Linked DNA regions of Rattus norvegicus. The protein of the gene in region 6 purifies or fractionates together with the protein of the main gene of each other region. This does not show direct contact. Links are inferred from orthologs where the notes say so. Each region holds a gene or a part of one and is shown on either strand. Other genes may lie near its edges. The genes, in order: Eif5, Eif3g, Mtor, Eif3i, Eif3d, Eif3b and Eif4g3.

Region 1 (2,997 bases), on a different chromosome or scaffold from region 6:
CTCAAAAGGGCTCAAGGTCAGATAATGCTTGTTTACCTAGTATGCTCACTTTCCAGAACTACATGCAAAAACTGTCTCCCCCACTCACAGAAAGATTGCATTTTGTTGTATCCTTAAACTGAAATTTGGAACCATCCCAATTGTCTAGTCATAACTACCCTTCAATCTCTACTCCCTCTCCCCAGAGCAGCGCACACCTTTAGCTAGCACTAAGAGCAGCAGGCAGCTGAGTTCCAGACCAGCCAGGGACACACACACAAAACCCTATTCATGTGTGGCAGACCTGCAATACCCATTGACAACCAAGTACTCAATAACATTTTTTAGCATTTACCTCAATATTTTCATCTTCGTCTTCTTCCTCACCACCAGAAGATTCCTCCTCCGCTTCCTTCAACCATTTAATAAATGGCTCTGCTTTGACACGAATCTCTTTGGCAAGTTCTTTTGAGACATATTTCTTAGAGGCCTAAAAAAAGCCCAGAATTTTCTTGGTGAAGATTTGAAAAATGTAATTTAAGTCACATGTACAATGAATTAGCTATTTAAAGGGCTTGGTTCACACCCTAACCTTCAGTAGACAGAACACACATACACATTACCCAAGTATAGAATTCAACATCATAGAGAAAACTGCGTCTATTAGACACAACTTCCTCATAACATATGCCCCAATAGCCATTCTGATGCTTCTGAAGCATTTTAACATAACTTATGTGGTTCCTTACCTTTTCTGACCAGCTGATAATGACCTCTTCCTCTAAAAGGTCTGCATCATACATCTCCTTCAAGATATGTGGAATCTTGGAGATCAACTGAGCTTGATGCATTGCTACCACACATTCCAAACCATGAAGAAGGTACCGCTGGGCCTTTTTGTTGTTATGACAAAACTGCAGGTAGACAACATCAGCAATTATCTGCCTGTTCTATAATTCTTACCTATGTACATTCATTTTCTTAAAGCATAGAGTATGAAAGAGTAGCCCAAAAAAGTCAATGTACCCTTACCCTTTGCAGGTGCTCCCAGACTTGGTAAAGTGGGGATTATCTATTTTCAGGATAACAATAGTTGTCTGAAGCAATTTAAAGCCACAGTCCTAAGGTGACAATCAAGAATAATAAACCAAAATCTCTTACTCTTAAAAAATGGCGCCTGTATTTCTTGATTTGCTCTCTTATCTTCTCATCAAAGAGAACTTCTGTCAAAACGAGAGGGCCCATGGCTTTTACATCCAGTCTTTCTGCCTCAGCCACAATGTCTTTATCAGATGAATCAATAATGCCCTCTTCTTTCTTTTTCTGGAAATAAAGGATTATTTCAATATAAAATACAGGCATATTTTGCTATGTGTGAGAACAGTCCTTCTCCAGAATTTATACCCAATTTATCACAGTTCAACACCCATTGTACTACTTCTAGTACATTTCTTGCATAATCAAGGAAGTAAATACAAGCATTCCATTAATATTCAAAGAATGGTGTGGTGGGACATGCCTTTAATCTCAGCAGGCTCAGGTCTCTGAGAGCTTGAGGCTAGCCTGGTCTATCAAGTCCATGAAAGTCAGGGCTAGAGACCCTGAAAAAATGAATTCAAAGATACCAGAGAAAATGTTAACTATAAAAAGTTACCTTGGGGGGTTGGGGATTTAGCATAGTGGTAGAGCGCTTGCCTAGGAAGCGCAAGGCCCTGGGTTCGGTCCCCAGCTCCGAAAAAAAGAACAAAAAAAAAAAAAAAAAAAAAAAAAGTTACCTTAACAAAATCAAACAGGATGTTAACACGCTCTTCTACAGTTCTTTCCAAATCATCGCTAAGTGTCAGACCTTTTGCATGGTCACTGATTTCATCCATTCTGCGCCTTTGAGCTTCCTCAGTTGTATCCTCCCCCCAATCATCATCTTCCTCTTCTTCCTATTCACACAAAAGATCACAAAGGAATTAGTCATCTTGACAAGATCAAGCAAGCACCTTTGCCCACAAACCAGAAAATATTTATCTTTCACATCAGAGCAAACAAAAACAAAACAAAATGGCAAACAGGGAAAAAGGATCCTAAAAATAGTTTAGTTTAATTCAGTTTATCCACCAGCCAATAGCACAATGCTACAACTATATTAATACATTTAAAAATTTAACCAAATATCAGGGTTTTCAACACTATTTGAAGAACACTAAACTCACCACAGCATGTGGAGGACTAATTTCATTTGGTGGTGGAGGTGGTGGTGTCTCACTGGTGGATACAGAGCCATTTTCCTTGTCCTTGCCCTTTCTATTTTTCTTTTCTTTCTCTTTCTTTCCTGTACCAATGTCACTATTCTCTACAAGGAAGTAAGAGTTAGCTTACTTAGTCTCATGGTTTATGTATTACTATCAGACTTAAATTCCACCCTCTCACCATCGTAGTTCTCTGCAGAAAAAGCCAACATGATAAAACACAACTTCGAATTCTGGAGGGAGTGGCTGGTAAACAATAAAGAGGACTTGTTCCTGCATAAGAAGGAAGTTCAGGGGTTGGGGATTTCGCTCAGTGGTAGAGCGCTTGCCTAGGAAGCACAAGGCCCTGGGTTCGGTCCCCAGTTCCAAAAAAAAAAAAAAAAAGGAAGTTCAGATTCTCAGCACTCATATGGTAGCTCACAACCATCCATAACTCCAGTCAGTTCCAGGGGATTCATGCATGTGGTACAGACATACCCACACACAGAACACCCACACAAAAAAATACACTTCAATAAAACAACCCTGCATGCCTTTCATCCCAGCACTTGGGAGGCGGCAGCAAGCAGGTTATCTCTGAGTTAGAGGCCAACCTGGTCTACAGAGTAAGGTTCAGGACACCCAGAGATATTACAGAAAAACCCTGTCTTGCTTGAAAAAAACAAAAAAGAATTCTGAAGGTATTCAGACATCAAATAAATTCACTAACTACATTGTGCAGGCTATAAAATAAGGTGAAGCAGTACTGATACAGTATTGGAGCTATTAAAGATTAGGA
Region 2 (4,131 bases), on a different chromosome or scaffold from region 6:
AGTCATCAGTCACACTTGCATCAGAATGACCACCATGCCCAAAGTTGTCCCTAGGTGATATAGGGAAAGAAAACAGTACACTACAAAAGGAACAGCTGAGGCCCCTCCCAGGCGCCCCATGCCCACACCTCCTGGCAATTTCTCCTTCTCCCCGGTAGACAGGCCCAGCTGCTCAGCCAGCTCCTTCTGCATGGGTCCTAGTGTGTCCTTGTAGGGGCAGCGGGTGGTCCAATGGTCGCCCTTGCAAATGCGGCAGGACACGATCTTCTGGCCCTTGAGCTTGTTCATTGGGTCCTCCTCCTCCTGGCAGTTCAGGTCCTGGTGGGGAAGGGATGGCTCAGAAGGGGCTGCTATGTCCTACCCACCCCACTCCCTCTGCGTTTCTCAGGTTCCAGTTTCACCCTGCTCACCTCTTTGCTAGTGATGAATGTCATGGAGACGTCATCACTGACTGTGGTAGTGGCTACATTGGGCCCTGGCGGGTCAAACTCTGAGTTGCCAAACTTCTTCCAATTCTGGGCTCCCAGGAAAAGATGGGGAGGTGAGGATGAAGGCAGGAAGGATCCCACAGTGCAGCACCCCAGACAGACAACCATTCCGGGGCTTTGACTCCTATGTTCTAGTTTCCCTAGAGGCCTTCCGTGTGGTAACAGTGACAATACCCACTTCCTAAGATAGACATGGCGGCACATGACATCACTCCAACATCTGCCAGGTGCAAACAGGAGGATCCTGAGCTGCAGGCCATCCTGAGACACAAGCTCTAAACCAGCTTGAGCTGTATGAGGCCCCATCTAAATGAATGAATAAATACATAAGAAAAGGAAAAGGGGGCTGGGGACTTAGCTCAGTGGTAGAGCGCTTACCTAGGAAGCGCAAGGCCCTGGGTTCGGTCCCCAGCTCCGAAAAAAAGAACCAAAAAAAAAAAAAAAAAAAAAAAAAAAAAAGAAAAGGAAAAGGTGCTGGTGCCGTAGCTCAGTGTGAAAAGGTGCAGTTTACTTGTTGTACTTGTAACAACCTGAGCTTGATCCCAAAGTCACACAAAAAGTTGAGCATGGGGCTCAACTGTGCCACTGCAGTTTCTGGGCAGGTCAGTAGCCCAGCTCCCATCAGGAATGAAGGAGGAATCCCCAGATCTTAGGAACCTTGAGCTAGTTAGACCTGAGGTTCATTTCCTTCCTGTAACATGGGGGCCACAAAGCCCCCTGCCTCCCTAAACTGGCGTGGGGATTGAGAAGCCATGTCGAGCTAGATGACTTGGGGGGGAGGGGTGCTTGCTCTCAGGCAGTGCTGCCCCGGCTAGACGCCCTTGCCCCCTTGGTAAGTAGAGGCTGCTCGCTTCTTCATGTAGACAAAGGAGGAAGAATCTAAGTGGGGACTCGGGAGGCAGAAGCATTCTGAATGAAGACTGTAGAGCTAAAGTCTCTCAAAAATAACAAGCCAGGAAGTGGTGGCAGTGCCTTAAATCCTAAGTCTGGGGTAAAGGCAGGTGGACCTCTGAGTTCATGGTCAGCCTGGTCTACAGAGAGTTCAGAACAGCTAGAGCTACAGAGAAACCCTGTCTGGAAAAAACAGACAAACTACAAACAGAAAAACCAAGAGGGCTGGATATGTCTCAGTACAGTATTTGTCACAGAAGTGCCCATCAGAGTTGATCCCAATGAAGATCTGAGATCAGAGGCATGTACTTATGTGGGAACAGCAAGCCCAGTCTAGTTTCTAATATAAAGAGACCATCTCAAACCAAAAGTGCGCACACCTGCGCACAAAAGGAGAAGAAAAAAAAATCTTAACTTCATCTACTCCTGGGTCCTAAACTTTCAAGGCCTAACACTAAACTTTTATTCTACATCAACAAAAAGGGGCTTCCTAAGTCCTCTGGTCAGTCCTGGGGAACACCCCCATCCCCCAAATAAGTACACTCTCACCTTCCTCCTGGCCACAGCCTTTGATGCCTTCCGGGTCTCAATTCTGAAGGTTCTGACAATCTGAAGGTGGGAAAGAGTTAGGAGTGCTTCCCGAGTCTCAGGCCTGCCTCAGCCATCCAAAGCAACACTGACACTCTTCACCACCGATCTAAGAGCCCCTGAACAAGTCACGCTGACCACATATGCCCACCTCACCCTTACCTTGAACTTCTTCCCATCTTCCTCTACCTTGTACTCAGTCACCGTCTTTATGTTCCCATTGATGACTTCCTTGGGAGGTGGCAGTGGGTCTGGAGGAAGATCACAGAAACTAACTCCTGGGTAATGGGACTGGCTGGAAAGTAGGCTTGAGAATCGGAAGGGAGAAGGGAGAAGAAGGCAGGGATGGACGGTGCTCACCTCCAGGAAGTAACTCCGGCTCTGGACTGGTGTCACCGGTGGGCAGAGGGATTCCTTTCAGGAGCTCGCTGGTGACACACTTGTCTGCCGGAGGGAATTCGGGGAGGAAGGTAAGTGAGCCACAGCGCTGGAACTTTCAAGCCAATGGCGGGGGTTGGGGTGGGGGACCGCTCCAGGGGCAGAGCGCAAAGCGAGGGTGGGACTGGCCACAAGCGGCCCTAGCCTGTGCGTGGGCATCCGGGTCTCGCAGCGGGCGGGGCCGCGCACAAGCACTCACCGTCCTCTCCCTCCTCTTCCACCTGGTCGGCCCAGCTGGGCTTCGAGCTGCGGGGACAGGAGATCGGTGAGCGGGTCCCGGGCCCCGCGCTACCTGGACCACCATACACCCCAGAGCTGCCCCCACTCGGCCTCTCTGGCGACCCCCACCGCCACCGAACACTTACTCAAAGTCGCCAGTCGGCATCTCGAAGTCCTACTCCACGCAGCTCTCAGCCCGGGTAAAGACCGGAAGCCCGTGTAGAAGAGGCTTCCGGTGCTGTGGCCGCTGCCTAGAGCGGCCAGACCGCGGTGACCACAGCGCCTCCCTGTGGACAAATGTGGACATGCATGTTTTGCGTGCCGCAAAGCGCTGGCATCCAACCTGGAAAGGGGGTCTAGAAAAGAGCTTCTAAGAGCGTTTTAAACTTTTTACTCCCTCTTTAGGCTGATGGAACTAGATGTCAGTGTCTCACTCTATAGCTAGGATAATCAGTAACTCCCCACAATCCTTCTGTCTCAACTCCAAAACGCTCATGAACATCATTCCCAGGGTGGCCTTGAATACGAGGCTGTCCTGAACCTTGTGGTGTATGTACCCCAGCTAGCCTTGAATCTTTCCACCTCATTCTAGCAAGTGCCGGGAATACGAACATGAAACCACCACACTGGAAACTGATTCGTTCTCTCCCTCCTCTTGGAGAATTAGTTTTAATTATCACCCAGTGTTAGAGGTGGAAGCTGGAAAATCATGAGTTGAAGGCCATTTCAGCTACTTTTTGGATTCCAGGCTAGCCTGTGCTACATGAGACTCTGTATCCAAAACTAAAACCCTTACTTTGTTCCCCAGGCTTGCCCCTGAACTCCCGAATGCAAGCAATTGACAAATAACTGGCATTATACCAACAAGCCTGGGGGAAAAGCACATGTATCAAGAATGCCCTTAAAAAAAAAAAAAAAGAACCAAAAAAAAAAAAAAAAAAAAGAATGCCCTTGATTTGTGTTGTTTGGATGATACCAGGACTCTGGTTTGTTGAAGAAGATATAGACTCAGACCACCTGGTCTCCTGTGCTTCCTTTTCTGTGACGCATGCTAGGTTTTATCATGCAAACTTGCGTGTGTGTTTGTACTGTGTTTGAAGACACCGTGCTTGTGCACTCACAAACCCTTATGCACAGTACACGTGTGGAGGTCAGGGGACACTTTGCAGGAGGCCTCTCCTTCCACTATGTGGGTCCTGCAGCTCAGGCCCGCAGTCTTGGCCTCCTGTTGGGGTCAATGAATCGCTTCACAAACCACATGAACACCAATCTCTGACAGACACGGACAGTTTATTTAGCGTACATCCCAGGACTGGTTGACCAAGGTCACACTCCAGATTCAGGGACTGAACCCCAAGCTAAGATCCTGCAGGGTTGTTAAGCCCCAAATCCACAAACATCTGTGCCAAGTTATTTCACCAATCAGGATTTAGGGATAGGCAGATTTCCTTGGGATCATGTCTTTGTTGTACACTTACCCTGCTCCCAATGGTTGGGGTATTCAACT
Region 3 (3,500 bases), on a different chromosome or scaffold from region 6:
ACAACATTAAAATTTATAAAAATAAACCTTAAGAACAAACAACAACAACAACAACAACAACAACAACAACACAACAACAACCACCCCAGCCTGATTTAAGTCTAGCCATGAGGAACAAGCAGAAATCTGGCCTGCAGTTCCTTCCACAGCTGAGCTACAGAGCAATGCTGTCCCTTCCACGGGGCTATTCATTCTCTATATCCAGTGGGGATGAAGTAGACAACCGGACAGACCCAGCTAAACACTTAGGTGCCATGTTGGGAGAGGCAGTGTCAGTGCAAGCTGGGCGTGGCGTCAGGAAGCCGAGGCACAGATAAGTCTGCATGGTGCAGTGCAGCAGAGGTGAGCAGGGAAGGGTTTTTAAGTACTTACTTCCCGGATGGCCCCATCACAGACTCGGATGACGTTAAGGAACGTGGGCATGACCTGGGGCAGGAACTGCACACACTTGAGCCCCAGGGACTTGAAGATGAAGGTGATGGCCTGAACCACCATGGTGTGGTGGTGAGAGAGGGACTGGTCTCGGAAGATCCGCATCAAGGCCACCATGGACACGGCGGGGTAGAACTCGTCCAGTGGCAGGTTTCCCATGTTGACCAGCATTTCACTGGTGCTGTAGTCAGCTAGGACAAAGTGACAAAGAGAGTCATAAGTACTGGTGACAGGACTTTGATGAGAGGCTAAGCAGGCTAATAGCAAGCGAAGCCCCTCAGAGGCATTAGCACGCATACATTCTCTCTGCTACATTCTGACACTGCTGTGAGTATGGGACAAGTGGCTATTAGGAACCAATGAATAGGCTCTCCATGTCAGGAGCAAAACTCATTCTAGCTTTTCTATTACCCAAACCACCAAAGCCTAAAACAGTACATGATGGGTTTTCTTTAAATTACTAGGTTTAACCTAGCTTCTCAGCATTACAGTGCACAACTTCATAGTTGAAACCATCAATAAAATAATTACTCCTCCAAATGAAAGTAAAGGGAATTAAATTAGGCAAACATCTGTTCCACAGCTGGCTAGTCCCACAGGGAATACAGACAAGTTAGCAGGCATATGCCATACCCTGAACAGCAAGGACTCTGTCCTGGGAATGGTGGCGTGCAATGAGGAGGTAAGATGTGGGGCAGGAGAGGGGCTGGTTGGCAGGCGCTGCTGAGGAACCCTAGGTTCTGCTCTTGATGGCCAAGGTGCAAAGGTAAAAGCTTGCTACACTTCCTTAACCCAGAGGGGAGAAGGAAACAGATGGAGAAAACCGAACACTCACACCTAGAGAGATTGTAGTGAACAAACAGTTTCATCTTCTTAAGTCATCTTCTGCTACAGCACTGGGGAGACCCACTGCTGAACCTTCACCTCATAAACAGGCTTTTCCCAGTAGATGGTGGCCTAGAGCTCACATTCCATCCGCTTCCCCACATGCTCGTGCACTCGTCAAAAGGCAAGGGGTCTCTATTGTCAGACGAGATGCAAAGAGAGAGGGCCCAGGGTTTATGGGGGCTACTGGTCTTTCTATGTCCTGAATTCCCTCAATAAAACAGAGAAGACAAGAGTTATCCTTCCTCTCCACGAGGCCAGGGATGAAAGAAAAGAAATAAATAAAAAAGAAGCACTAACAAAGTGACAGGTGACAGTGGTGTCAGGGTAACTCCTATCTCTCCCTGCGGTCAAAAGTAACCTAGACTTAAGTTAGCCTGTTAACCCTGACAAGACCGTGGGTAGACACAGGACTTGGATACATCAGGTACAACATCCCTGCTAGGCAGACGCAGGGACTACAGGCTCTTCATGCACAAGTTGCCAAGAGATTCAGTCATCTGACCAATACTCTTTCTAAATATGGTCAGGAAGGGATGTGAGTCCAAGCTTGACAATACTCTCGTTCTAACTTACAGGAATCTTGACTTGACTTGGATTCTGACAGGCTGACAGCAGAAGCATCTCGGGACTGGTCAATCATGCCGATGTTCACTTTGTGCTTGTAGGGGTCCAAAGCCCCGAGGAGCCCTAACACTCGGATGGCCTGGGCAGGGAAGGAAAGAAGCAGCTAAGCATTTACCCCAACATCTGATTAAACAGGACTTGAAGGGTTGGGGATTTAGCTCAGTGGTAGAGCGCTTGCCTAGGAAGCGCAAGGCCCTGGGTTCGGTCCCCAACTCCGAAAAAAAGAACCAAAAAAAAAAAAAACAAAAAAAAAACAAAACAAAAAACAGGACTTGAGGTACAACTCTCCTGTTCTACACCCCACACCTCCCACATAAACGACCATTCCAACAACAGAGCAGAGACAGACAGGAAGTCCCGCCCAGTGTGGGTGGGTTACTGCCATGACTTCCTCTCTCAAGTCCCTGCAGGCCAGGTGTCTGCTGTGTACCTCTCTCCGAGTGCCCTGGTTCTGCTCCGTCTTCAGAAAATTCAGCAGCACTTCAAGCAGAGTGGGGTACTTCCTGTAGGGCTCCACCACGTAGCCAGTACTGGCCACCAACTGTCCCAGGGTCCACAAAGCCACCTGGGTGGACGAACAGCCACAGTTTGTTGAACCAGTACAGGAAAAGAAAGCACAGGCATTCTTTTTGTCCAATCGGAAGACTGTTAAGTCACAGACCATGAGTAGGAGTCCCAGAGTCAGGACACGCAAACAGCTGATCAAGCAGGAACCCACAGTCACTCCCTGACCCGGGGAGGCTGAAGCTGGAGGGCTGCCGATAGTCCAGTTCAAACTACACAGTAAGTAACCGGACTTACTTGTCGACTACAGAATGAGATGATGATGGCTCAAAAAGAATCAGAGAAAGAACTATACAGAATATTCTCAGAAGAAATGTGGTGCTTTCGTATCCTGAATGACTAACAGGAGCTACGGAAGGAAGTCAATACTGTTCTTCACTTTGGACTATTTCCCTAATAACCTCCAGTGGCTGGGAGGGTGAGGGGAAGCTGTCTGCCTCCATAATCAGTGTCCGAGCCTGCTTCCTCACTCGGGAGCCGGGGCTCTGACCAGTCAGGGCTCTGACGAGCGGACTGCATTTTCGTCCGTGCAGAGGAAGGGGCGATGCTTGGCCTAGATTGAACTGCAGATGATTGGTCAGGAGGACAGCCAAAGCTTGTTCTGAGATTCTGCCCTCTTTCCACACTCAAAGAAAATGTCAAGCTCTTACTGTCTGTCAACCTCTGCAAGAACTGACTGGTGACACTGTGGTGAACAGAGAAACTGGTCCCCGGTCCCCGGGGAGCCCAGCACACTCAGCGGCAGTGGCCCTCACCTGTCTTTTGGCCAGAAGAGAGGAGTCCTGCAGCATGTCCATGATGATGACAAAGAGCTCGTCCACCCACTTCCTCATCTCCAGGCCGCTAACCTGCAAACGAGAAGACAATGGCAGAGGGCTGAGACTGTGGGATGAAAACATTGTTTTAGGAGGGGTGTGGTGGCTCACACTTAGACATCCAAAACTCTAGAAGCTGAGGCAGGAGTTCTGGGAGTTTGAGGTCAGCCTAGGCAG
Region 4 (4,001 bases), on a different chromosome or scaffold from region 6:
AGAGAAACACAGTCAATGTACTCTATTGCCTTAAATATCCTCTCCCTCGTCCTGGCCAGTTCCCATCTTTCCTTGAGTGACAGTGTCACCCCTTCCAGGAAGCCCACTCCCTGTCCTCCAACTCCCATCTCTCTCAGAGTTCACACAGTACTTTATCTGTACCCCTCAGAGTGCTGCATATCTAGCTAGCTTACATCGGCAGCTATGGCTTGTAGGCAGTTCATTATAGCCTTCCTTAGGTACAACTCCAGGGCAAAGAAAGCTTCTGGAAATGCTCCAAATCGTTATATAATTGATAGGGTGACAATGACATTAAGAGCCTGGCCGTGGCAGCGCCTTTAATCCCAGCACTCGGGAGTCAGAGACAGGCTGATCCCTGAGTTCGAGGCTAGACTGTTCAGGATAGTCAGGGCTACACTGAGAAACACAGTCTCAAAAAAAAAAAAAAAAAAAAAGTCATAGATTGAACATGTACGCTGTACTAGGCCCAATGCTAAGTGTTTTGCGTCTTACCTCAATTCTTCTATCTGCCCTATACATGGGTTATCATTAAAATTTCCATTTTACGGATGATGAAACTGAGACTCACAGGGGATAAATGAGCTTCCAGGAGCTTCTAGTGAGTAGGAGGTGGGCTGAGAATCTGGCCGACCAGCGACCAAACACTCAGCGGCTCCTCCCGAGCGTACGCACCTCAGTATTCAAGAAGAGAGCCTTCATCTCCCCCACCAGCTGCCGGGCCCATGTCCGCTCATGCACCTGCTGCAAGCCGGAGGAGGCCCGCTTCAGCAGTGGCTGCGTGCCACCCCATAGTGCAGCCACCAGCACCAGAGCAAGCACCTGCCCTGAAAGCAAAGGGTCAGAAAGTCACCCCGGCCCTCTCCTGCTTCCTCCAGCCCGGCTGACCGGCTCCATCTCCCTCCCGCGCTCTCCGCGCCGGGCAGCGATAGGTCGGGAGGACCGGCCGGCAAAACGGCGGAAGTGAGACCGGGAGACCAGGGTGCGTGGTTTAGCATTCCTGCGATTCAGGGATGCCAGGGGAGTGAGAAGAGATTCTCCGAGTTGGAGAGTCGGAGCCCGCAGAGGGGCGGGGCCAGCTACCCACCCAAGGATGCCGCCATGGAAACGCCGGGCCCTTCTACTTCCGGGAGCGAGAGGGCGGAGTCCTCACATCCGGAAGTCGCCCCAGTCTTCTTCCGGTCCTACTCACATTGCCTCTCTCCTCGCGTCACCGCCAGGATGGTGAGTTCCAGGCACGCTGTGCTGCTGTCGGGGGTCCTCAGTAGACTTGGGACAGGGTTTCAGGCACTGACACTCCGGTTCTGTCCTCACAGAAGCCCATCCTGCTTCAGGGCCATGAGCGGTCCATCACGCAAATCAAGTACAACCGCGAAGGAGACCTCCTTTTCACTGTGGCCAAAGACCCCGTGAGCGACTGCGCGAGGGCGGGAGGGCCGGGCGGGGCACCGGGGGGAGCGAGTTCGCGCCGCCGGGACAGAGGGTGAGGTGAACAAGGTTTGCTGCCGGAGGGATATTTCTCTGAAAAGCAGGGAAAACCACCCATAACCGGAGTAGGGTAGCGACAGCATTCTGCCAGGAAAATCTGGAAGATGTTGGTGGATGAAAGGAAAGAGTACCCAGGGAGAAGAAAATTAAGAGATTGAAATTTAACCCTTCTAAACTACAGTTTTCCCTTTTAGTAAAACATGGAAGCTTTTAGTAGCTCCCCCAGCAAGTGAGGTCATTCTTCTAAATAGTTTTGCACCGCACCTCATGTATGTTAGTCGCTTATATTTTAAGGTTCATAGACATGGTTTTATTGGAGCGTCACAGCTGCCCTTTGAAGAAAGCTGTTAACAGGGGTGGGGTATCTATCCAAGCTGGCCTGAACCTCTCCATCTTCCTGCCTCAGCCTCCTGGTCTTAGGAATACAAATGTGTGCTACCACGTACAGCTCCTCCCAGTGCTTTAAAAAAAAAATTATATATATTTTGTGTGTGTGTAATCATTTTATTTTATGTGTATGGGTGCTTTCCTGCATGTGTGCGTCTGGTACCTGAGAAGGCCAGAAGATCCCCTGAAACTGCAGCTACAGATTGTTGGTATCGTGTGGGTGTTGGGAATCGAACCCATGTCGTCTGGAAGAGCAGCCAGTATTCTTTAAGCTCTGAGCCATCTCTTCAGCTCTCATAGCCATTTAAAGGAAAGAAGCCCTGTATTTAAGATGACAGGGTGAGCTAGTGACAAAGCACCAGAGCCCATGCGTCCTTACTGTCATCTGTAGTCAGCTGAACAGGACCTGAAAGATTTTTTTAGGCTGGAACTCAATCTTGTCTTGGACTCCTGAATCCAGACAAAAGCGTATGAGGGTGCTGTGGCAGGCCTGGCTCTTCTGCCGCTTATGTTAGGAACGGAGGAGAACCCAGGAGCTGGTCTTTTATCAGCTCTCTAATAAATGAGCAGAAGGCTGGCTTGGCTCGAGCCTACCGAGGGTTTGAGTGCAAGCTAAGCTATTGATCTTTCCGGGATGTGACCCGTCCTGTCATTTTACTCTTTCCAGATCGTCAATGTGTGGTATTCTGTCAATGGCGAGAGGCTAGGCACCTACATGGGCCACACTGGAGCTGTGTGGTGTGTGGATGCTGACTGTATCCTTTTTGCCTGCCGTGGGTCAGCCAGCCTTGGAGATGCTGGCTTTGAGGTTGTGGCTTTGGCATGCTATGGTGGTCTAGAGAATAACACTCTCTACTCCGGGGTGCTTCATCCTGTGGGAAACTAGGACACGTTCAGGTTCTGGAATTCAAAGGTCAGGTCGCTCTGAGGTAAAAGTGAGAAAGGCTCTTTGGGACGGAACTGGGAGATGGGGGCTAGGTGAACTGTTGTCATTTTCTTTTGTATGTATGTATATGTGTATGTGTGGTGAATCTGTGTGAACAAGTGCAGGGACGAATGGAGGCCAGAAGTCAGCATCTGGTCTTGTCTTAAGTTATTTGCAACCTTTTTTTTAACATTTTTTCTTTTCCCTAAAGATTAGTTCTATCTGTACGGGAGTTTTGCCTGCATATGTGTCTGTGCACCATGTGTGTGCAGTGCCAGCCATTTTCTTTAAAATGACAGAGGGCATCAGATCCCTTAGAACAGGAGTTACAGATGGTTGGGAGCCACCGTGTGGGTGATGGGAACCTAACCTGGGTCTTCCGGAAGAGCAGCCAATGCTCTAATCAATGAGCCACCTATCCCAGCTTTGTTTGTTGGGTTGGTTTTTGGTTTTTTGTTTGTTTTTGTTTTGGTTGGTCTGTTTTCAAGACAGGGTCTCACTATGATAGTGTTGACTCTCCTAGAAATCCCTGTAGACCAGGCTGGCCTCAGAGATCCACCTGTACCTGCTTCTCAAGGAAGGATTAAAGACATGTGCCACCACTGTCTGGCTCCAACTTGTGTTTTGAGACAAAAACAACTTTTCATTGAGTCTATAGCTCCCTGATTAGCTAGAATTGGCCAGCCAGTCACTGAACTTCCTGTCTTCATCTCTCAGCACGGGAATTGCAGCCACACTAAAGTCTCTCTGTGGGTGCTGGGGATCTGAACTGAGGTTCTCAGGTTTGCACAGAGCATTTTACCTGTTAAACGTCTCCCAGCCCTAGTCATTCTTTTTTTCTGTGTCTAGAAGTGATTTGCCTGGTGTTTGTATGTATGTGTGCTTGGTGCCCTTGAAAACCACACTTGGGCATTAGATCCCCCTGGAACTGGAGTTGGGAGCCACCATGTAGCTTCTGGGATTCTAACCTGGACCCTCTGGAAGAGCAGCCAGTGCTCTAACCACTCAGCATCTCTCCAGCCCAAGTCATGTTTCTTAACATCTTTCTCAGGGGACACCAAGCATGTCCTTACTGGCTCAGCTGACAACAGCTGTCGTCTCTGGGACTGTGAAACAGGTAAACCTGGGTTATTCACTTTTTAGCAAAAGTGGCCAACGACAGTTTACCTGTCTAAGCAAAGAC
Region 5 (3,500 bases), on a different chromosome or scaffold from region 6:
TTCAGGGCACCACACACAGAGCCAGGGAGAAAGGACGTCGCCTGACCTTAAGGTCCTGCAGCACTGGAAATGGATAACGCAAAGAGGACTGTGTGTGCGTGTCTGTCCAGATCTTAGTCTTTGGAGGTCAGCAGTGACAGAACTGGATAAAGAGATCATGAGGTGGCAATGAGGCTGAGTAAAGAAAGAGGCCAGAGCTTCCAAAGATAAGGTGAGGTCAAGATCAGATGCACAGACCACAGGAGCCAATAGCCAGAATGAACAGACTAAAGTGCTTGAAGATAAAGGTAGAAACCTTAACTTAGACTGTTCTACTCTGTTGGCAGTGACGGAAACTTGAGATATCCCTGCACCCACAATGGTTGTGTGAGTACCCAAGAGCCAACCCCACTACACACTGCCGGAACACAACTGTGATGGTGCCTCACCCTGGAGTCCCATTCATTGAGTGTCTTGATGTTGATGAAGGACACTTCCCCGTTGGCCCCAGTCATGACGCCATCATGTTCACAGCGAACAATAAGGTCAATGTCATCTCCAAGCTTCCACCTCCGGTAACTAAGAAGACAGCAAGACTCATTCACTACAAGATCCACTGCCGTGGACGGACCATCCTGGACAGCACAGGACAGGTTCTGTGCTCTAATCTTGGTCAGACCCCCCCCAGAGCCGACATACCGGTAAGCCACGGAGGCGATCTCATTCTTATCCATGTCATCCTCCACAAATGGGTTTGGGTTGGGGAAATTGTATCTCTCTCTCCCCTGCAGAAGTGACAAAGCTTTCAGGAGCTGGGGTTGATAACAAGTGGGCAGACCCAGCATTGCTCTTGACAGCCCTGGCTAGGTGCTTCTGTCCTTGAGGGTGTAGGCTCACTATGTATCAAGGACCAAGCCTAACACACTCCACAGAGTAAGAGCCATCATGTTCCTTCCTGCTTCCCTCTCCACCACAAGCAGACTGCTGAGCTAACAGGAAAGCAAGCAATGCTCTTCATTCAATGTCATATCCTCAAGGCATGGAAAGGCCTTTTATCCAAAGGCATTCCACAGCCTGTCTATGTGACACAGGCATTATTAGTTACTCCATAGAGAGGAAATATGCCTGAGCACACAGACCTTTTTGTGGCTCCAATCCCTGCTACCAGGAGGAGTTGTGCCTGGCCAACCTCACACCACTGTCTAGCACAGAGCAGAGGCTCAGCAGCAGGACCTAACCCAGAAGCCAGTGCATCTGCTCCTGTGTACTCACCATTCTCAGGCACTGCTGGGAGAAGTTGTGGTTGATGTAGGTGGCCTCCATGGCCAGGTTCCGGGGTGAGTTGAAGGAATTGCCTTCATCTTGAGGGGGCTCGTTAGCCGTCTCACTCACAGTCAGGAGGTCTGGAAAAGCCCAAGCATGGATGTCACCCACTCAGGTAGCCAAGAGTCACTGGCAGTGTGCACAGCAGTATGGGTAGAGGTACGGACCTAGATCATAGGGGCCCATCTCCAAAGAACTGCCATCTGCTCACAGAGGATTCCCCCAGAATGTGGCATGCACAGGGAAGTGGAGGCTCACTGAAAACGTTAGGTGCGACCCAACAACACTGGTCACATAGTTCAGTTGTTCCTTCTCATTCTTTCTGGATTCCTCAAGAGAATGTGTCTCTCTTGGCATTTTAACAAATGAGGCTTGAGACTCAAACAGAATCAGACGGCTATAATTCTGTGAGTGATTCATTGACAGTGTGTATATACACATGTGTCATAAAATACACGCATATGCATTCTTCTTTATAGTACAGAGAGGAAGAGGAAACGGAGGACACTTCTATGCATATAGTAACTCACGGCCACAGTGGTGTGAGGACTCAGAGCTGAAGCCCACAGAAGCACCGAAGTGGTCTCTTTGAGTGGACGGGAGAGATCAAAACACTACTCATTCTTAAGTAATTATTCTGAACTGAAAACACCCATGCCTACCAAAGTCAGAATTGTCCCTCTTGTCAAAGAAGAGTTTAGATCCGACCCTCTGGACAACAATGTCCCAGGAGTACACGGAGCGGGTGCAGCTCATCAGTGTGGCCAGGATGGCATCTGTGGCAAACACATTGCCCTGCGTTTTTGCCAGCTGAAAGGAAGGAGAGAGACTAGAGTGAACTGAGGACTCTGAGGTCACTTGGGAAGGAAGATACCCCAGTCACCTGAGGAGGCTGCAGCAAATAGGCTGGGTGAGGCTCTCAGTCACTGCAGCAGGCTGTGGTGGATGCACGGGACACGCTCCACTCAGTAGGTGCCAGCCTAGCTATCCTTCTACCTTTGTATGTAAGAAAGCTAAGGCACCAGGGCAGCAAAGTCAGCCTGGCAGAGCTGGAATTTGAGCATGTCTCTTAACATATTTAAGTGCACCTAGCAACAAGTCTCATCTGTATGATTCAGAACCTCATCTAAGGCTTGGCTATGCACATAGTCAGCTGTTTCTGTGGGATCCACCAGTCCAACATGTCTACCACATGTTCAGGGGGAGAAAGTTTGCCTGATAAACACGTTCACCTTCTATCCGTCAGGTTCCTCAAATAACAGTGTAACAACTGCTTACGTAGTAGTAGCCAATGTCTAGGTGTTGTGAGCAACCCAGAAGGAACTGAAACACGGAAGGAAGATTGCTAGGGCTGACAGGTAAGTCACATCACCGGGACTGGAGCAGCCATGGCTTTTGGTACCTATGGGATGGTCCTGATTCAAACCCTGTGAATACTGAAGGACACCTGCACACCTCATGCCCTGTTCTTTCTCAAGCCTCAGCAACATTCCCAAAAGTGGGCAAAGGGTGCACACCTTCCGGATGACAGGGTCGTCTGTGGTGGTGACAGTGTGGAAGATGCGCTTGATGCTCCGCAGAGGCTTCTCACTCCTCGTGGTGATGCGGTCGAAGGCTTTGTCATAGTACTCCAGTGCTCCACAGCACTCGCTGAGGGGAGAGAGAAAAATCAGAGGTCCGCCCACCTCTTACGCCATGGAGTCAGAAGGCACATCTACTGTGCACGCCAGGCATTGCAGTGGTGCATGTCTATAATCCCAGGATTAGGGAGGCAGATGCAGGAGGATGCCAAGTTTAAATCTCAGCTACAAAGGGAGGCCCATCTCAGAAGTCCAGTACATAGGAAAGAGATGGAACTAATCTCTCTGAAAAAGAGACGAGAGGGCTGGAGAGATGGCTCAGGGGTTAAGAGCACTGGCTGCTCTTCCAGAGGTCCTGAGTTCAATTCCCAGCAACCACATGGTGGCTCACAACCATCTGTAATGAGATCTGGTGCCTTCTTCTACTGTGTCTGAAGACAGCTACAGTATATTCATATAAAATTAATAAAAAAGTATTAAAAAAAAAAGAGAGACAAACTCTAATGCTAGTTTAGCTTCCTGCTTTCTTAGCTCCCATGTTCCTCTGTAGAGCACAGTAAACCTTCCCTGGGGAACTGAGCCCACTATGGAAGCACGCACACGGGTGGACTTCTGGGT
Region 6 (3,500 bases):
AGAAATCCCGCAGGCAGGTTTGTCCACTTTCAGGCCCTTAAAGTGCTATCTTTATCTAGGACCTATCTTGGATAGCCTGCTTCTTCTGTGGGCCCTCAGGCTACAGTCACTCACTGCTGGGGACCTGGGAACCAAAACTTCACTGGCGCACTCCCCTCTGGGGTGGCCTGAACACACAAACCCCCAAGCCCCCAACTGCTGCTTCAGCAACCATCACACTCACCCTTTCGTCTTTCCATCCTCTTCAGGGTAATAGTCATTTATGATTTTCCCAAACTTGGAGAAGATCTTGTGGATGACATTTTTGAGCTTCTCAAGCCGGTCGGGTCCCACCTGAGGAACGTTGTCTACAACAATCACCGAGTCAATCCCATCCGCTTCCTGAGGCCGATCTTTGAGTACATCACCAAGTAGTTCTGAAGGAGTGAAGGAAATGTCAAGTGGTTTCTAGTTCAGCCGAGCAGCACTCATTCATTAGCCAGCAGGCTACTCATGTCTAAGAGGCATCTATCCCAAGTGCTTTCACGGTGAACAAAGACACCAGGACTTGGCTTCTAAGGAAGCGGATGCTCACCCTCCTTTAGATGGGAATATTCTCTAAATGGATCAAACTGCTGCTACAGGGGGTGTAAGCATGTAATCCCATCACTTTGAAGGTGGACGATGCCTGTGGATCGGAGCTCAAGGCCAGCTTGACCCTGCCTTAACCAGGTGGGAAGAACCCATTCCTCAAAGTTACCCTCTGACCCCCACAGCCATGTTCATACTCCACACGAAAACAATAACTGTAAAAATTACAAATTACAAAGGGCCACAGATAGAACAACAGTAGCACCCCAGCCTAACACAGAAGTAGCCCTGGGTTCAATCTCTAATACTGCTCAAAAGACAAACTTAAATGGCCTACTGCATGAATTTCTAGCCACTATCACTGTTTTTTATTCAATCTTTGCAGGGGTGGCTGCACACGCCCGCAACCCCAGCAAAATGCAGGAGGACCTAGAGCTCAAGGTCATCCTCAAGGCAAGGACAGCCTCCTAGTGGCCTACACAAGATCTTAGCTAAGAACAGTAAGCGACAGCTCAGCATTAAGAGCAGGTACCACGGTTGATGGTGGTGCCTTTAATCCCAGCACCTGGTAGGTAGAAGCAGGTGATATGAGTTTGAGACCATAGTCTGGTCTACACAGAGAAGCCATGTCTGGAAAAACCAACTGTCTCTCCTGCAGAGTACCTGAGTTCTGTTCCCAGTACCCATGTTGGACAGTTCACTCAACAGTCTGTTCAAGGGGACTGGACACCTCTGGCCTACAAGGGTACCTGTGCACACGCACACACACACACACACACACACACACACACACACACACACACACCCTTTAAAAACAGAAAAGAAACTTCAGCATGCTAAATCCCCTAAATGTCAACATACATCCTTTGGGCATTTCAGAAGTGAAAGGTGGGGCTGGACAGAGGGGCTAAGTCAGGGGAAAGTGCTTGCTGCCCACAAGCTGATTTATTTGCATTGTGACCTCCAATCACAGGACTTGGGCAGGCAGACCTCTGTGAATTCAAGAGCAGCCTGGTCTACAAAGTGATTTCTAGGACAGCCACAACTACACAGTTAAGACTCTGTCTCAAAAAAAAGCCACATCTATAATCCCGGCGTTATGAAGACAGAGTGTGCAGGATCTCAGGGGCTTTCTGCCTAACCAGTCTAGCTGCAATGGTGAGCTCCAGGTTCAATTTGAAACCCTATCTTAGGGGCTGGAGAGATGGCTCACTGGTTAAAGGCAATGACTGCTCTTCTAGAGGACCTGGGTTCAATTTCCAGCACCCACATGGCAGCTCACAGGGGCTGTAACTCCAGGATCTAACAACCTCACACATATATACAGATACTAAAAACATTTTTTAAAGGGGGAGCTGGGAAGTCATGGTGCCCACCTTTAATCCCTGTACTAGAGGGAGAGGCAGGTTAATCTCTGAGTTGGAGGTCAGCCTGATCTACAGAATTCTATAGAGTCAATTCCAAAAAGAGTAGTGAAGATCAAAAGAACACTCCTGACACAATCCTTAGGCCTACAGATGTCACCTTCACAAATACAGTACATGTACACAAGGAGAAAGGCGTGCTAAGCGGAAGGATGCTTCCATGCTCCCAGATCCAGATCTACACAAGAAGATCTGTTTAAAATACACAAGTCTGGCCCAGCTAATGCCCTTCATCCCAACTCAGAAGGCAGATAAGTCAGCAGATAAGTTCAAGACCAGCCTAGTGAGTTCCAGAACAGTCAGAGGCCGAGTCACAGTAAGACCTTGTCTCAGATAGAAAACATGGAAGCGGGGAGAGAGTGGGGAGACGGCTCGGCAGTTGAGATCACTTGTTATTCTTGCAGGACCAGAGTTCAGTTCCCAGCACCCACATGGTGGGTCACAACCAGCTACAACCCCAGTTCCAGAGAACCTAATGCCCTCTTCTGGCCTCCAAGGGCAAATGAATACTTGTGGTACACAGACATACATGCAGGCAAAACGTCCATAAACATATAAAATACAAAACTTATAATAAAATAAAAAATTAAAAGAAAAAAAAAAACCGCTGGAGATGGCTCAGCCATTTTCGAGCACTTTTGGCTCTTGCAGAGGACTGAGGCTCAATTCCCAACACCCACATGTTGGTTCACAGCCACTTGCAATAACTCTGGTTTCAAAGAATTTGATGCCCTCTTTTGGCCTCCACAAATACCAGTCACACATGTGCATAAACATGAATGCAGGCAAACATACATACGAAGTAAAATGTAAAAAAAAGGATACAAATAAATAATATGTTTAAACATAAAAGGCAATTCTGGGCCTGCAGGAAGGCTCAGGGTGTCACACACTAGTCACACAAGGCTGATGACCTGAGTGCAATCCCTGGAACCCATTGTGGAAGGAGAAAACCAACTCCTCAACACTGTCCTGACTGCTACACGAATGTCCAGCACCAGCTCACCAAATGACTTTTTTTAAGGGTCACTGTGGAAGGGCTGGGAGTATGGCTTGGTAGAACACTTGCTTAGCATGCACCAGGTCCTGGGTGCTACACAGGGAAAAGCAATGTGACAGACAGTCCTCTGCATTCTGTGCTGGCTAATTTTATGTCACCTTGACAACTAGAGTTATCTGGGAGCAGTAAACCTCACTTGAGAAAATGCCCCCACCAGACTCGCCTGCAGGCAAGTTTGTGGGTTGGTTTTTTGACTGCACACTGGTATTCGAGAACACAACTCACTGTGGGCAGGGCCATCCAGGCTGTCCCTGAATGGTCTAAGAGAGCAGGCCGAGCGAGCCATAAGGAGCAGGGCAGCGGCAGCAGTCCTCATGGCCTGCCTCTACATCTGCTCCTGCCCTCACTTCCTTGGATAATGGACCTTGGATAAGTTGCTTTTGTCACAGCAAAAGAAACCTAATTAAGCAAGACACATTGCAAAGATGCCAAAATCAATGACAGGC
Region 7 (3,500 bases), on a different chromosome or scaffold from region 6:
ACAAGTTTGAGGCAGCCTAGACTGTAGAGTGAGACTCTTTATAATAAAGACAAAAAATAAAACTACATGAAAAAAAGAAAATTTGATTTCTTAGCCAGAAATCATGGTGGTTTTATTACTTGCAGCCGCGCATGGACCAGTACTTTAACCAGATGGAGAAAATTGTCAAAGAAAGGAAAACTTCCTCCCGGATTCGGTTCATGCTTCAGGATGTAATTGACCTCAGGCTGGTAAGTTAGGTTTTATCAATAAATACCATGACCAAAACCATTTGGGAAGGGGAGGGTTTCTTTCAGTTTACAGTTTTACAACACAGAAGGCAGGGACTGAAAAGGCGGCCATGAAGGAGTGCTGCTTACCGGCTTACTCAGCCTTCTTTTTCACACAGCTCAGGACCACATCCATTAATCAAGGAAATGCCCTACAGACTGTCTAGTCAGTCTGGGTGGAGGCATATTCTCAATTGAGAGTCTTCTTCGGATAACTCCAGCTCATGTCAAGGTGACAAAAGGTGGTAGGGAAGGGAAATCAGATAGACTTGAGTGAAAAAGTCGGTGGTGTTTGTTGGGGTGGCAAGCTCTTTTGCTTCATGCCCAGCACTGAAGTGACGGGAAGAAGGTGCTGCCTGACTTGTCCTTTCCCAGTTACCTCACCACACTGCCGCTCTGACATTGCCCCTCTGAGTTCAGTACTGGTCAGTGAGACCCGGGCTTTCTAAACTGAACAGCGGAGTCTCGTCTCCACAGTGAACATGTTGAGCTCATAGCCATGTGATCTCTACAGTGCTATTGCCATCCTCTGCCCTTACATACTCGGTGACATAACTATGTACATTGACACTCGTGGATGTTGCTATTCCGCACTGTCTGCCTCAGCTGGAAGGTCATCCCTCACTGCCCTCAGTCCTCAGGGCACCTAGGAGGCTGCTTTGTCTTGTCAGACCCCAGGTGTGACCTTAATAGCAAAAGCTGTGACCTGTTGCTCAGAGCTCCCTCACAAGGCAAACTCAACCCAGTTTCCACCCACGTCTCCACCACGTTTGCTCATTTCAGCCATCAGAAGGGAGGCTGGGATGGAGTGAGGCAAGTTTTGTCTCCTGAGAAGAGAGAAGCAACCTTGCGTGGCATTCTAGGGAGGGTACCAGAGTCATATTAAAGGAATAAAAGTGGTTGTCACCTTTGATTTAGAGACCCTGTGAACTATGACATGAATTGAGTATTAACCCCTCATGTCACACAGTCCTGGAGAATCTTCCTTCTTCCCAACCCACCGCCTTTCCCTTCTGTGTCGGCAGTGTTGGCAGCTGCATTGCACACTTTTTTATTTATTATGTATACATCATACAGCTTTCTGCCTGCATGTATGCCTGCAGGCCAGAAGAGGGCACCAGACCTGATTATAGATGGTTGTGAGCCACCATGTGGTTGCTGGGAATTGAACTCAGGACCTCTGGAAGAGCAGTCAGTGCTCTTAACCTCTGAGCCATCTCTCTAGCCCCCTAGACACTCTTTCCTTCTGACTTTTACCCTCCACTTGTTGGAATGGGCACTGCACACCCCGCCGTAGTTGTTTCCTTAGCTTGAAACCATAAAGCACACCTGTCATCCTCAGCCAGCTGGGGTACTGGCATGCCTCTCCCTTTGGTAGGTATTTTATATGGTTGCCACACTGGAAAGTATATGTTTTGTCTTTTTGCCGGGACAGGGGCTATTAACAGGTTTCTCTGTATAGCCCTGGATATCCTGTAGACCAGACTGGCTTCAAATTCATAGAGGTCTGCCTTCCTCTGCCTCCTGAGTGCTAGGACTAAAGGTGTGTGCCACACTGCCCAGCAAATGTATAGGCTTTTAATTTATTTTTATTTGGAAAATTATATTGTTATTATGTATGTGGTGCTGAGGACCAAAGGCAGAACCTCGCACATGGTAGGCATTTACCAACCTAGATGCCCCACCCTTTCTGTAAAATTCTGTGACTTGACTCTCAATCTTATTCTGTTTTCATAGTGTAATTGGGTGTCCCGAAGAGCAGATCAGGGGCCAAAGACTATCGAGCAGATTCACAAAGAGGCCAAAATAGAAGAACAAGAGGAGCAAAGGAAAGTCCAGCAGCTGATGACCAAGGAGAAGAGAAGACCAGGTGAGGCAGCGGGGCTGGAGTTGGGTGCAGGGTGCGGGACTGTTAGGTCGGTGCTGCAGATGAGATTACCAAGACACCTGAGAATAACCGTGGAGTAAGAATGTACAATGGAGGGGTGTGTCGACTGTCTGAGCCAGTAAGAGAAGCGAGTGAAAGTAGCTCTTGAAACTGATGGCTGGACCCCTCCAGGACACATTGCCAGTAAATGCATGGGGTGTCCTCAGTTGAGATGTATTCTCCATTACGGTTGTAAAAATGTAGACTTAAGAATGGTGGCACAGGGGCTGGAGAGATGGCTTAGAGGCTAAGAGCACCAGTTACTCTTCCTGAGGACTCTGGTTCGATTCCCAACACCCTCCTGGCAGTTCACAACCATCTGTAAGATCAGTTCTGTGGGGATTGGGGATTTAGCTCAGTGGTAGAGCGCTTGCCTAGGAAGCGCAAGGCCCTGGGTTCGGTCCCCAGCTCCGAAAAAAAGAACCAAAAAAAAAAAAAAAAAAAAAAAAAGATCAGTTCTGTGGAATCTGACACCATCACACAGACACACGCACGTAAAACACCAATGCACATTTTTTTTAAAAAAACTAAAAAAGAAACAAATCATAAGAAAGGAAGGAAGAAAGCGGTGAAGTTTTAGAGGAGGAGAGAGATGAGAAGAGGAAGAAGCCTTTCTGTGAAGGAGGCCTGACCTGGCCGAGAGGCTGGTGTTTGAAAGGACTTCACCCGTGTAGTGGAGAATGACCAGCCCTAATTGGGGTGTGTGTCACCTCACAGTTTGGATGGACGATGCTGGAAGAACTGAGACCAAGTGCTTGGTTTTGGTTTCTGCCAGTCTCAAGTGTGACGTGTCGCACACTCAGGAGTGTCCATCACGTCACGGGTCGTGTGCTGGTAGCAGTAAACAAACCGAAGTACAGGGTAGCCTTTACCCAGCTGTCTTCAGGGAACACTTTAGAGGAAGAAATGTAGGGACTGCGGGCTTAGGAAAGAGAGGTTGCATTTTTTTAAGTTTTTTATTACATGGCATGCCATGGAGGTCAGAGATCAGTTTGAAGGAGCCTGTTTTCTCCTTATACCATGTTTGTCCCAGGATCGAACTCAGGTCACCAGGCCTGACAGCAACTGCTGCTGCCCGCTGAGCAATCTTAGCATCGCAGAGGTTTTTAAGCAGGAAGCTTGGAGAGCCTTTTCTTGTTGGTGCTGGTGAGCCAGCCTGAAGCAGGTGAGGGCGGGAAGCCCTGTGCACATCTTTGGAAGGAGGGGTTTGGAGCAAAGAGGATGCACAGAGGCCCTGCAGCAGTGCTGCGATCGGAAACAGGAGTCTGGTTAAAACTCTGCCTGTATGGAAAAGGAAGGGTTAC

Evidence for each region.
Region 1: the proteins of Eif3b (region 6) and Eif5 fractionate together in Homo sapiens (co-fractionation; 3 studies listed by BioGRID and IntAct, with this or other methods). This does not show direct contact. The link is inferred for Rattus norvegicus from reciprocal best matches to the Homo sapiens genes EIF3B and EIF5.
Region 2: the proteins of Eif3b (region 6) and Eif3g purify together in Homo sapiens (affinity purification with mass spectrometry; 12 studies listed by BioGRID and IntAct, counting the BioPlex papers as one, with this or other methods). This does not show direct contact. The link is inferred for Rattus norvegicus from reciprocal best matches to the Homo sapiens genes EIF3B and EIF3G.
Region 3: the proteins of Eif3b (region 6) and Mtor purify together in Homo sapiens (affinity purification with western blotting; 3 studies listed by BioGRID and IntAct, with this or other methods). This does not show direct contact. The link is inferred for Rattus norvegicus from reciprocal best matches to the Homo sapiens genes EIF3B and MTOR.
Region 4: the proteins of Eif3b (region 6) and Eif3i purify together in Homo sapiens (affinity purification with mass spectrometry; 12 studies listed by BioGRID and IntAct, counting the BioPlex papers as one, with this or other methods). This does not show direct contact. The link is inferred for Rattus norvegicus from reciprocal best matches to the Homo sapiens genes EIF3B and EIF3I.
Region 5: the proteins of Eif3b (region 6) and Eif3d purify together in Homo sapiens (affinity purification with mass spectrometry; 10 studies listed by BioGRID and IntAct, with this or other methods). This does not show direct contact. The link is inferred for Rattus norvegicus from reciprocal best matches to the Homo sapiens genes EIF3B and EIF3D.
Region 7: the proteins of Eif3b (region 6) and Eif4g3 purify together in Homo sapiens (affinity purification with mass spectrometry; 3 studies listed by BioGRID and IntAct, with this or other methods). This does not show direct contact. The link is inferred for Rattus norvegicus from reciprocal best matches to the Homo sapiens genes EIF3B and EIF4G3.

Annotation. Positions count from the first base shown.
Region 1 is NC_086024.1:136,413,333-136,416,329, reverse strand, and holds part of Eif5 (eukaryotic translation initiation factor 5), read right to left. Parts: intron 2,324-2,997; coding exon 2,184-2,323; intron 1,914-2,183; coding exon 1,755-1,913; intron 1,303-1,754; coding exon 1,141-1,302; intron 894-1,140; coding exon 729-893; intron 470-728; coding exon 335-469; intron 1-334.
Region 2 is NC_086026.1:27,707,147-27,711,277, forward strand, and holds the start of Eif3g (eukaryotic translation initiation factor 3 subunit G), read right to left. Parts: upstream 2,801-4,131; 5' UTR 2,791-2,800; coding exon 2,771-2,790; intron 2,652-2,770; coding exon 2,605-2,651; intron 2,412-2,604; coding exon 2,328-2,411; intron 2,219-2,327; coding exon 2,130-2,218; intron 1,989-2,129; coding exon 1,929-1,988; intron 516-1,928; coding exon 411-515; intron 319-410; coding exon 129-318; intron 1-128. UniProt on the Homo sapiens protein: RNA-binding component of the eukaryotic translation initiation factor 3 (eIF-3) complex, which is required for several steps in the initiation of protein synthesis.
Region 3 is NC_086023.1:164,188,485-164,191,984, reverse strand, and holds part of Mtor (serine/threonine-protein kinase mTOR), read right to left. Parts: intron 3,357-3,500; coding exon 3,264-3,356; intron 2,510-3,263; coding exon 2,375-2,509; intron 2,024-2,374; coding exon 1,894-2,023; intron 624-1,893; coding exon 373-623; intron 1-372. UniProt on the Homo sapiens protein: Serine/threonine protein kinase which is a central regulator of cellular metabolism, growth and survival in response to hormones, growth factors, nutrients, energy and stress signals.
Region 4 is NC_086023.1:147,224,111-147,228,111, reverse strand, and holds the start of Eif3i (eukaryotic translation initiation factor 3 subunit I), read left to right. Parts: upstream 1-1,201; 5' UTR 1,202-1,239; coding exon 1,240-1,242; intron 1,243-1,334; coding exon 1,335-1,427; intron 1,428-2,560; coding exon 2,561-2,648; intron 2,649-3,869; coding exon 3,870-3,935; intron 3,936-4,001. Other genes in the region: Tmem234 (transmembrane protein 234), read right to left, coding at 694-845, 1,106-1,121. UniProt on the Homo sapiens protein: Component of the eukaryotic translation initiation factor 3 (eIF-3) complex, which is required for several steps in the initiation of protein synthesis.
Region 5 is NC_086025.1:111,422,741-111,426,240, forward strand, and holds part of Eif3d (eukaryotic translation initiation factor 3 subunit D), read right to left. Parts: intron 2,953-3,500; coding exon 2,820-2,952; intron 2,113-2,819; coding exon 1,965-2,112; intron 1,383-1,964; coding exon 1,252-1,382; intron 765-1,251; coding exon 679-764; intron 559-678; coding exon 429-558; intron 1-428. UniProt on the Homo sapiens protein: mRNA cap-binding component of the eukaryotic translation initiation factor 3 (eIF-3) complex, a complex required for several steps in the initiation of protein synthesis of a specialized repertoire of mRNAs.
Region 6 is NC_086030.1:19,328,269-19,331,768, forward strand, and holds part of Eif3b (eukaryotic translation initiation factor 3 subunit B), read right to left. Parts: intron 417-3,500; coding exon 224-416; intron 1-223.
Region 7 is NC_086023.1:155,669,878-155,673,377, forward strand, and holds part of Eif4g3 (eukaryotic translation initiation factor 4 gamma 3), read left to right. Parts: intron 1-125; coding exon 126-230; intron 231-2,006; coding exon 2,007-2,139; intron 2,140-3,500. UniProt on the Homo sapiens protein: Component of the protein complex eIF4F, which is involved in the recognition of the mRNA cap, ATP-dependent unwinding of 5'-terminal secondary structure and recruitment of mRNA to the ribosome. Functional homolog of EIF4G1.